2 linked regions of the Xenopus tropicalis genome follow. The protein of the gene in region 2 binds, or shares a complex with, the protein of the main gene of each other region. Links are inferred from orthologs where the notes say so. Each region holds a gene or a part of one and is shown on either strand. Other genes may lie near its edges.

What was found.
Region 1: gtf2e2 (region 2) and polr2b share a complex: the UniProt entries of both Homo sapiens proteins name them as parts of the TBP-based Pol II pre-initiation complex. The link is inferred for Xenopus tropicalis from reciprocal best matches to the Homo sapiens genes GTF2E2 and POLR2B.

What each region holds. Positions count from the first base shown.
Region 1 is NC_030677.2:92,084,191-92,089,840, forward strand, and holds part of polr2b (DNA-directed RNA polymerase II subunit RPB2), read left to right. Parts: intron 1-799; coding exon 800-894; intron 895-2,253; coding exon 2,254-2,504; intron 2,505-5,050; coding exon 5,051-5,140; intron 5,141-5,650. UniProt on the Homo sapiens protein: Catalytic core component of RNA polymerase II (Pol II), a DNA-dependent RNA polymerase which synthesizes mRNA precursors and many functional non-coding RNAs using the four ribonucleoside triphosphates as substrates.
Region 2 is NC_030677.2:83,789,527-83,795,729, forward strand, and holds the start of gtf2e2 (transcription initiation factor IIE subunit beta), read left to right. Parts: upstream 1-1,980; 5' UTR 1,981-1,984; coding exon 1,985-2,141; intron 2,142-6,203. UniProt on the Homo sapiens protein: Recruits TFIIH to the initiation complex and stimulates the RNA polymerase II C-terminal domain kinase and DNA-dependent ATPase activities of TFIIH. Both TFIIH and TFIIE are required for promoter clearance by RNA polymerase.

The sequences.
Region 1 (5,650 bases), about 8.3 Mb from region 2:
AGCTCAGAACTTAGATGTCACTGCACTTCTCACATTCCCCCTCCCTCCTCACCATCTAGTTTTGTAACCAGTGCATGGACATGGGTATCAGGTCCCCCCCATACTGGCACAGAAACAAGATTTTGGCAGGATGCACAGCTTGCCTTAATAACAGTGTCCACAAAATTGAGCCTGCCTGTTTTCTGCAATGGTGAATTCCAGTGCTGAAGGAAATAAGTTTAAAAAAATGTATATAGTGTAATTGAAGTTTATTTTGCTTGACAAACACAATAGAAAACAATTTGTAATTATTCCTTAGGGTGACAGGTCCACTTTAATGCTTACGCCGGCCCCGGGATTCAGAAGGAAGAGGAAACACTCACTGCAGCTACCCCAGGCTGGTCCTCCTGGTAGGAGAAAACCGCACCAGCCCTGCGTAGCTACAAGCAAGTTGTTTCTTCCGTCTTGTAAAACATTTGGCACCTCCAGTGATTTTTACCTTTTTTTCTCCTTTAATGCAAAATATGGGGAGTAGAGTATAAATTCACCTTGGGAGGATGTTGGGTTCCCTGTAGGTGTGCTCCACTACAGGGAAAACACAGGGCAAAAACACCCATGAGTACATGCTCTTGACTTGATAAAATTACCCCAGATTGATTTTACATGCCTAGACATTTTCTGGTAATTATTCTCTTGAGAAATCAAAATAAAGGAACAGTGGAAGATAATTTATTTGAGGATGCCATATACATTTTGGGTTAATGTGGCTGCATTTCACCATTGAAAAAAGGGGCAGAGAATAATATTTTGCTCTAAACAGGTCTGTGTTCTACCGTTCATACAAAGAACAAGAGTCCAAAAAGGGATTTGACCAGGAAGAAGTTTTTGAGAAACCAACTCGTGAAACGTGTCAGGGTAAGATATCTGCATTTGAATATTTTTACCTTTTGGATAAGAAGTTTCATAAAACCTTTAGAAAAATCAAAAATATCCAAATTACTGAGCTAACTAACCCCTACAGGTCCCAGTGCAAAATTCACACCAGGCCCTCTTCCTCTTTGCACAACTTCCCATCCTCATTACTAAAAACAGTGTTTTAGACATGTGTCAAGTCCCAGAGCAGAACTGCAACTTAGTCTCACTCTTCGCAATGGGTTCATGGGGGCGCAAACCCAGGTTCAGCAGCACACCCAGGCTATAAACTTAATTATGCCACTGATAATATAAAAAGATTAATGTTTTCTTCTATGCTCTAAATAAAATCACAGAGTAACCATAAAACTGAAGAACAAGTAGTGTATTGAAGCACCTAGCTGGAGTACTATTTTCACCACTTCTTTGTTTTGGTAGGTGTTCTAGGATTTTGTTTTTAAAGGAGAACGAAACCCTAAAAACAACATGCGTTGAAATTTCATATTTATATAATGAACTTAATGCAGCAGCCTAAAGTTTCAGAATCCCTACAACCGTAATAATGCAGGCCTTCAATGTTGTGCACAGCAGGGGGTCGTCATCTTGGATTTAATGCAAATCATCAAGCAGAAAATGAGGTTCACGTGACAAAGAAGCTGATGCTGCAGGGCCAATTACTAAATTCTGATATAAATTGCACTGGTTTCTGAGCTGTCATGTAATGAGAATCTAACTTAGCCCCTAAGCTTAGGTATCAAACATCAGCACAGAGGATGTGTTCTAAAATGGCAGAAAATATGACTGGGAGCTACTGGGGATATATTTGGATTCACATATCTTTAATGCTTTAAAGGTTTGTAGTCACCTGGGACTGTTACAGAGTCCCGAAGCATAATGTGCAATAATTCTTGCCTACCTATTTGTTAAGCTTTAGTTCTCCTTTAAAGTAGTAAATTGTGATTTTGTTTAAAGGTTCTGCCACATAAAGCTGTTTGGTCTGCGCATAAGCTCAAACTGAGACACAAACACTCTACTGCAGGACTGTACAAAGAGGCATTGTGTTGCAGACGCATGTAAAAATACATATTCACTTTGTTGTGTCTGCACCCAGGCCAACACAGTGCCTGAAATGTAGGGTACATAGTTCATTGCCCCATTTACTCTGCAAGGGGTTAACCGAATGTGCGTTATTCTTGTGATTTTAAATCTCTACTGATTGCATAACGAATATAATAGTGCTATGACTACTTTTTAAATAATAAATGCAATCAATTCCATATCAGATTTTCACCTATATTTCTCAAGATATTTATAGTTTTTTTTTGGTTTTTTTTTTTAATTCCTCCCCCCCAACCCCCACAGGGATGAGGCATGCTATTTATGATAAATTGGATGATGATGGCTTGATAGCACCTGGTGTACGTGTGTCAGGGGATGACGTAATTATTGGCAAGACAGTAACTCTGCCTGAAAATGAAGACGAGTTAGAAAGTACTAATCGCCGTTACACGAAGAGAGACTGTAGCACTTTCCTACGTACTAGTGAAACTGGAATTGTTGATCAGGTCATGGTGACACTTAATCAAGAGGGATACAAGTTTTGTAAAATTAGGGTAAGTTTTCAAGTAATGCAAGTTTTCAAGTAATGTATATTTTGGAAAATACTAAACTCTGAATGGGTCTACTCTTGGCATCTTTAAAGTGGTCCTTTACGCAAACCATTTTTTAAAATTTTTTGTATTGTAAAAAAAGCAATTTTCCAATATACATAAACATTGGTTTTAAAGTGGTTCTAACATGGAAAAATAAGTTTCAAAATATTAATGTACATAAAAAGTTATCTATAGGTCATGTTGATCATTTTTCGTGGATAGGCCTGCTTTTGTAAGTAGTATAGTAGTGTTCTTTGATTTCAGTTTATTCTTCCGCTCCTTAATCTTATTTTTCTTATTTAAATTGCTGCCAATCTAAGAGCTTTAAGACTACACTAACCAAACTTGAACCCATAGTCATGGGTTCAACCTGAATGAAAACATATTTGTTGGATGCCCAAAAGTGGGCAAAGCTATGAACAGCCAATCGGATTTCACCCATTAACTTTCAATAGGGGAATTTAACCTGCTGGCACTCTCACAGTAATAACTCCAGGGTCCCCAAACTCTTCACAGTTGGTCACTGGTGGACTGCAGGTCAAAGTTAGTAAAAGTGGATGGAGCCACCAACAGCCAATCAGATTTCATCCATTAAATGTCATTGTTTTACATTTAAACAAGAAGGAAAGGTAAAAATCACTGGGGGGGGGGGGGTGCCAAATTTTAGGCACCCCCCAGTAACTTTAATAGCTTACTTTTTACCCCGGGCTGGTGGTGCTTTTATTAGGAGAAAAACCGCACCACCCCGGGGTGTTTCCTCTTCCTTATGTCTATGAAGATTCTCATTCATCTAGGTCATGATATACAATATCTGGTAGAATTAAAAAATGGGTGGAGCCACTGGGCAACTATGGTTCACGGTTAGAAAAAGTGGGCAGAGCCATGAACTACCAAATAGATGTCATTCATTGACTTTCAGTGGGGAAATATCAATTGCTGCCATTCTGACACTATTAAAACCGTGGCCCCAAACCTTGCACAGTCTTTTACTTTGACTGTGGTCCAAGGTTAGAAAAACTGGGTGGAGCCAACAACAGCCAATCAGATCTAATTCAGTAACATGTTTTTCAAACCAACATAAAGTTTGTTCTTAAACTTCCCTTTCTAGTTGTTACATGAAGTTCCTAAACCTGTTTGTTTTGCCAACCTGACTATTTTCTCACCCTCAGGTAATGTAAAATTATCGGACAAATACTTTCAAGGCAAAATTATGAATAACATGCAAAGACAATGTTTTATAATGTAAAAAAAAAAAGATTTAATTTCTGGTGTCTTTATCCCTTTAAAGTAATGTATTTGTAAGCATTCAGTTGCTATTGAAAGCAGTATCTGTCTGGCTCTTATAGGATCTTACACACTTATAGGATTACACACACACACACACACATACACACGCACAGAAGGAAGTGCCTCAGCCCATCAGCAAACAGATTACAGGAAGGAAGTTGCACTACTGATGCGCTGCAGATATATGTACTGTAACATAATCCCAATCTAATTGCGAACAGCTCTGAGCTCTCACTAACTTTCATCCCTCCCCAGGCACATGCACTTTGATATGTAAACATGGAAAGCTCCAGCTAGGAGCTGAAACGTCGGACTGAATAAAGCCTTAAGGTGGCCATACACGTGGCGATCTGACGATGTTTCGTAAGACCATCGGTCGCACGAAACATCGTAAGATCCGCCACACACCATTCAGGGCTGAATCGGCAGGTAAGGAGGTAGAAACAATAGGATTTCTACCTCCTTCTGCCGATTCAGCACTGAAGGGAGAATTTTGGTCAGGCGCCTTCTATGGCGCCCGATCAAAATTTTCAAACTGGTCCGATCGGCGAGTCGTCCGATATCAGCAGCTTCCTGCGATATCAGTCGACTCGCCGACATGCCATACACGCACCGATTATCGTACGAAACGAGGTTTCATACGATAATATCGGTGCGTGTATGGCCACCTTAACATCTTTAAGGGCTCTGGCACACGGGGAGATTAGTCGCCCGCAGCAAAACTCCCTGTTCGCGGGCGACTAATCTCCCCGAGTTGCCTACCCCTGCCATCCCACCGGCAAACATGTAAGTCGCCGGCGGGATGGCAGACGCGGCGGGGCGATTTCAGGAAATTGCCGAAAAAGACTTGCAAGTCTTGTGAAAAACCCGCGTGTGCTGTCATTTCCAACCCTGTATATGTACATTTACTGCACTGGCACCCGGGTATCATCTCTTCTCATGGTGTGCAGCTTGCTGACAAATATATATATACACCCCTCACACCAGTGCAGATGTGCTGTGTTTTCAGCTTCACATCAGCCTATTGCTGGAAATGGAACTAAGATGCTTTCTCGATCTTAGTTAATGGGAATGTGTATATATAAACCTTTCACTGAGAAATATATTTACATTGTAGATTTAAATGCTAAAATATAGACTATAATTGTTGTACTTTATATATTGTGTTTTATAATTATATCTTACAATATAAAGTTTGTTTTTGTGCTTGTCATCTTCAGGTGCGTTCAGTTCGGATTCCTCAAATTGGAGATAAGTTTGCTAGCCGTCATGGGCAGAAAGGTACCTGTGGTATTCAGTACAGGCAAGAGGTAATTTATTTATTTTTTTACAATTGCAGACCTATATGTGTGCAGGGGCAAAAGAAAAAAAAATCATGTTACTGAACACTCAGTTGACCTGCCACTGATGTCAAAATATGTAGTTATCCTTGGGATTTTTATTTGCTTTAGTGCCTGTTTTTGTACAGTTACTAAAGTATTTAAGCAGCATGTAGACAAAGTACATGCTGCAAAGAGTTTAAAAAAAAAAACACTACTCTTAAAAATATGAATGTAATTAAAGTTCCCTATAGGTCATATTGATAATTTTTTACTGACAGGATTGCTTTTGTAAGTAATTGTTATTTGAAGTTCCTAAATCTTGACTGTTTTGCCAACCTTCTAATTATAAAGGACTCCTGCTGTACAAAAATGGCTGCCTCCTCATAGGGAGACATGGGGGTCAATTAGAGAATTTAAAGGCATCGGTCAAATACATTTATGGCAATATTTATAAATAGTATGCAAAGCCAGTGTTATGATAGATGTAAAATATTTAAT
Region 2 (6,203 bases):
ACACCTGGCCGATTATTAGCAGATATCGCTGCTGAATTCATGGCTACCTTTACAACTGAGCATACTTTCTGAGCTTGATTATAATATACGGGTCGAAGTTCTCTGATGCTGCTGAGAAATGTGTCAACTAATGGAGCAAATTGTAAAAGAGTCTGCATCTGACTTACTGAGCTGATAGTCTGAATTGCCAGAGGAAGGAAAATTAGTTTATATTATAAGATCAAAAATAAAAAAAGAAACTAACTAGTTGCTGGTGTACTATTTGTAAATATCTAAACTAAAAAAAGTGTGTGGAAAGTAAACAATCCCTTTAAAATTTTCTGGTCCATTTATACTCCAAACAGTTTATGTAAACCAATTTTGCTGTTTTATAAGCAAATCATGGGCAATAAAATGTATATATAACAGTGGCAAATCGTTATCTACATACACAAGATTTTGATCAAAATCTGATCTCCACAGGCTGTAATGTAATGTTGCATAAGATTAAATCGGATGTTTTCCGATCAACATCCAAAAGTCTTTCTAACACCATCAGTTTTTATTTTGTTGGATGCAGTGTTCCCTTATGACAGGCTTATTGTCTTGCATGACAATATTTTCTATATAGTTAACAAATGAGATTTTTGTATCAGTCCTATCATATTTTGACCCACGTGACTACATCTGACTTGTCGAATGCATTTTATTGATCTGACACCATTCGACAAAATCACTTGTGGACTTTAGCCCTATTTCATACTTTTATTCCACAGGGATACATCAACAGAGATATAACAAATTAAAAAGACTATCTGCCTTTATAACAAATTGTAGAAAATATTCATACTTTTTTCCACAAAGATATATATATATATATATATATATATATATAACATATAACATGTGAAAGGGACAGTTTGCCTTCAAAAATGTAGTAGAAGGCATTAAATTTTTTTTTATTTTATTTGTATTCTATATATTATTATAAATGGCTATTAGGGTGGTTTGGTCAGTGTCTTAAGTAAATGTCTTAAATAAAATAGGCAAAGTGGCTAAAATTCCCCACTAAAAAAAAAAATAATCATCTTCTATTTAGTACAGGTATGGGATCCCTTATTCCGGAAACCCGTTATCCAGACAGTTCCGAATTACGGAAAGGCCATCTGCAATAGACTCCATTATAATCAAATAATTCAAATTTTTAAAAATGATTTCCTTTTTGCTGTAAAAATAAAACAGAACCTTGTACTTGATCCCAACTAAGATATAAATAATCCTTAAAACAAGTCTATTAGGTTTATTTCATATTTAAATGATTTTTAGCAGACTTAAGTTATGGAGATCCAAATTATGGAAAAGATCCCATATCCGGAAAACCCCCAGGCCCCGAGCATTCTGGATAACAGGTGCCATACCTGTATTGTAAAAATTGTTAAAGGAACATGTATTTGATTATACACAGATATTTGCAACATATGCCATTGTGCCAGTATGCAAATATGTAAACCTCTTTGCTTTATAAAAAGTTATGTTTGTAACAACACCAGCACGAAGGCAATGAATACTAGGCTTGCACTGAATGCACCAAACCCTAATTTGAGAAATCAAAAAATCATAATTTGTGAACAAAATGTTCTGTTGTCCAAAGCTTTATAGCCACTTTTGGGTTCTGCTGAACTGAATCTAAATGCCTAATGGATATTTTAAATTATATGTTTCCAATATAGGCAAAATATGTAAGAATGTGTTGAAAAAATATGATTATTTTAAACCATTCTTTCTGAGTACTATATTATTTTATTACTGCATTAGATGTGGTACATATAAAAGTAAGCTTGGTGGAAATCATTTTTAAAAATGTGAATTATTTGGTTAAAATGGAGTCTATGGGAGATGGCCTTTCCGTAATTCCGAACTTTCTGGATAATGGGTTTCCGGGTAAAGGGTCCGATACCTGTACAAGGCTAATTCATTTTTTATTTATTGTTTTATTTACAGTACCATGGATCCAGCCCTACTAAGAGACAGGGAGCTCTTTAAAAAGCGAGCCTTGACCACACCAGCTGTGGAAAAACGTCCAAGTGCTTCTTCAGAGTCTTCAAAGAAAAAGAGAGCCAAACTTGAACCTAGTGGCACTTCGGGATCCAAGCCAAGCTTAGGTCAGTAACCCCAATGAATGATTAATTTCTTATTCCCAGCTTTTATTAATCTGCAGAACAATTCTTACTGTGCACACTGTACTTTTGTGTTGGGGCACAAATCAAAATGATGCTGTAGTGAAGCCCAAGGGCTAAATATTGTTGTATTAAAAAGGTGAAGACATATTGTTAAAGCATACCTCCCAACTTTTTGAAAATGGAAAGAGGGACAAAAAGAAATGCCACATTTTTTGACCACGCCCATTTTTGCAACCACACCCCCTATGTCAATTGGCGTTTTTTCACAGCTACTGCACTATTTTTTACCACACAACTTTTTCTCTTGTAATTTTCTCCACCGTTGGAGTCTATAGATGTTTTTTTTAATGGGGAAAATTTCGCTCATCACTAGTGCCTTTCTTTATGTCAATGTAATTTTATGATAAACCTAGTTCTTTGCATTTCTTCTTGCATCTGTAAGTGGGCCTTAGGATTCACTTGACTGAAGTTTTTGTTAAATCTTTTGCTGTAAACATTCTGCTACTGTATGTTTGTGAGTGGGAAAAATAAAGCAAACACAAAATAAAAAAGAACATTATGTATAAAGTTAATAATTCACAATTTAAAGAAAAAACATTACAGTTAGCTGTATGTGTCAGATCTAAAAGCGGTCTGACAGTCAGCACTTCAGTACATTAATTTTAAATTGGCATGAACCAGCTAAGAGCGTTTCAAAAGATTGATGCAGGAGCAATGGACATTGAAACTTCAAAATAATTGCAGTTTCAATGTCCATTAAAATCATGACAACATATTCCAAATGTGGAGAAATTGCATCATTAAAGTGAAACTCCCAGTAGCAAATTCAAACTCACCAATAGAAGCAACACCCATAAATGCATAAACATTTTTCAAAATCTGGACATGTTAACATTTGCAGAAAGAAAAATAATGCCTTCAACTCTGTGTCTATTACCACCAACATGGTGGTAGATCCATAATAGTAGGGACAGCTATATTATGAGAGTCATTAGTGGACTTAGGACATGGGGCTCTATGTTCCCCAGGTCCTAACCATTACAGATAATAGATTCCATACATGTATTTTGATACAGAACAATTGTGGATGTATTGTGCAATTTAATGCACCTTTTTAAAATACTCCTAAAATGTTGGATGCTGCTCTAGCGGTTCAGATGAGAGTTCATGTTGGGTTGATGCTACAAATAAATTTTTTGTAAAGGCCCATTTAAATACATCTACCCACTTTCATAGCTTTTTTTTTTTTGTTCAGATTTCTAAAAAAAAGAATATATCTAAACAAAAGAGGTTAATTTTTTTTACATTTAGTTTCTCTAATATATCAAGCAGTGGCATATCTATTCCCCATATTTCCTATTGCTAAACTTTGCACTGAAACCTCTGATCAGGTGTAAACCACAATTTTATACAGATTGTTTTCTTATATTACTGGTGAAATTTTTTTTTTTTGTTTGTTCTGGTTTTTGGGCATGCCTTTAACATTTTCATGATAAAATTACTTTTGGCTGACCATATGACTAAGTATCACACATATGAGAATTTTTCAGATTGATTAAAAGGTAAATTTTTCAGTGTAGAAGATATGCAAGATATGCATTGCAAGTTTTTTTTTTTTTTTTATGCAGATTTATTATACTGGGAAGTTCTGCATTAAGTCAAATACCTGCAGAATACCCGCAGAGCAGTGTTTTTCTATCTGATTTAGCCTGCTAATCCAAGGGGCACATTTACTAATCCACGAATCCGAATCACGAAAGGGAAAAAATCGTATTGGAAACGAAAATTTATTAGTCACGATAATATCGTATTGGCGATCCGAAAGTCACGAAATTTTCGTACCGAACAATTGTAAACAGCGGTAAAACCTTTCCGATTTTTTCGTGCAAACGTCCGAAAAAGTTGTGCGCTGTACGAAAAAGTTGTGCGCTGTACGAAAAAGTTGTGCGGCGTACGAAAAAGTCGTGCGGCGTACGAAAAAGTCGTGCGGCGTACGAAAAAGTCGTGCGGACGCCCGAAAAAATCGGCAAAAATACGCTCGGAGCGTTCGCATGAACGCTCGAGCGTTCGTGCCTTTGTAAATGTGCCCCCAAGTGTATGGTTTTAGGTTTGCAACATTAGGACTTCTCGCCAAAAACTTAGAGAATTGACAATTGTTACAGTATCCCTAAATGTAACATGTTACGTAAGCATGTGCTTCAGCACCTGTTTGTGGGATGGTCTTTGTGGCAACCTGCATTGATTGTATCAAATTTTCCATTAAAACGTTGTAATCGGTGAGCCAGTCAGTTATTGATGGACTTTCCAGTCTCCTTTCTGAGATTAATTGCTTACAAAGGAACCAAACGGGTTTTACTTATAGGAGACAATTAACAGGACAGCACTGCAATAGAACCCCCCATCTTGTAGGGGACAAGAAAAAATGGTGTAAAATCACGCAAATGCATTATATATTGGTGATATCGCAAAAAAACATTGTAAAGTGCAGAAAAGCGTAAAATCAAGGGATGTAAAAGTTTCATTGTATATTGTACATAGCTGGGCAGTCTCGTGTAACAATATAAAACCCTAAAAAACAACTTTTGGAAGTTTTTTCATACAGTTAGACCATTCATGATTGAACTAGGGTGCCTGGATAAACATTTGAAGAATTCTGTCTGATCTGAAATAAAACCCTTGTTTAACAAAGACCCAATCAACAGGGGTATATAGGAGAGTTGCACAATATGCATTCATCCCAAATATTATCTTTAGTGCAATCTCTTAGATTTTCAGATTGTCTTTTCACTAAACTGTAATCCAGTTTTATGTTCTTTATTTGTATATACTTTTATTTATCTAGTGAATTTCTTCACCAGGCATGGATTCGCAGGGAAGTTCTGCATTTCGGCAAATATTTTTGCGAAACTGCGGAACAATCGATGCATCTGTTACAGAGATGGAAATAACACTGATATAAAAAATGCATTTGGAGTAAAGAAAAAAACAATTTGCGTGTACAATTTATCACACGTAAAATTTGTCATGTGTTGACTTCAATGCATTTCCCAATTTTTCCCGGTTTCACAATTTTTTTGCAGTTATGTGGATTTTTCAGCAAAGCGAAATGGTACAGATTCGCTCATCACTATTGTCTAGTAATGCACTTGCGTGTTTTGCTATTTTCTAATCCCACAGTCCTATAACCCTTTCATTGGTTGGTTCTTGCAGCTAGTTTCTAAAGTCACATTGTACTCCTATTATGCAGAAATCTGTTATCAAGAACTAAAATATGACAGAGCTATTTCTTATAGTGTCAAAGTGAAATGAACAATTTAAATGTTTTTCTAACTAGTTTTTTTTTAAGTAATAAAGAGCTCTCAAAAATCCATATTGGTTGGAATTCTTATTAGCCTTAAGGCATGGTGCATCATTCAAAACAACAGATGCCAAACTTGTACTTTATACTGCATTGGTATGATTAGATGTCAGCTGTGCATTGTGCTAATATTGGATTTTTTTTATTAATGGCAAGGAAAGTCAAATGCACTGGGACAACTTCCAACTTCTGTGGTATCAAGGGCCTACATCAGAGATCCCCAACCTTTTATACCTGTGAGCCATATTTGGTTACTTAATAGCCCACATGTGCACTGGCAGCCTACTGCATTATACTGGGTTTTTATGCAACCTGCTTTGAGGCCACGGGGAGCAACATCCATGGGGTTGGGGAGCAACATGTGGCTCATGAGCCACAGGCTGGGGAACACTGGCCTACATGGTGGAGGGCTGTTAAAGGAAGACAGTTTTATCACCTCCCCCTTTTTAAACCACACCCACTTCAAAGCACACCCATGCTATCAGCTTTTAAAACCATACCCACATTAATGGTGGTAGTGCAGCAAAAACCCAAATGGTTGGTGCTCACTGCAGGGATATCTGCCTCATTCATATGTTAAAAAAATGTATTAGGTCATATAATAATGTATTATGTGTGTATTAAGACATACCCTTAAATACATGTTCGCCTCCTTCTTCTCCCCTGTGGATAGTAGAGCAACACCC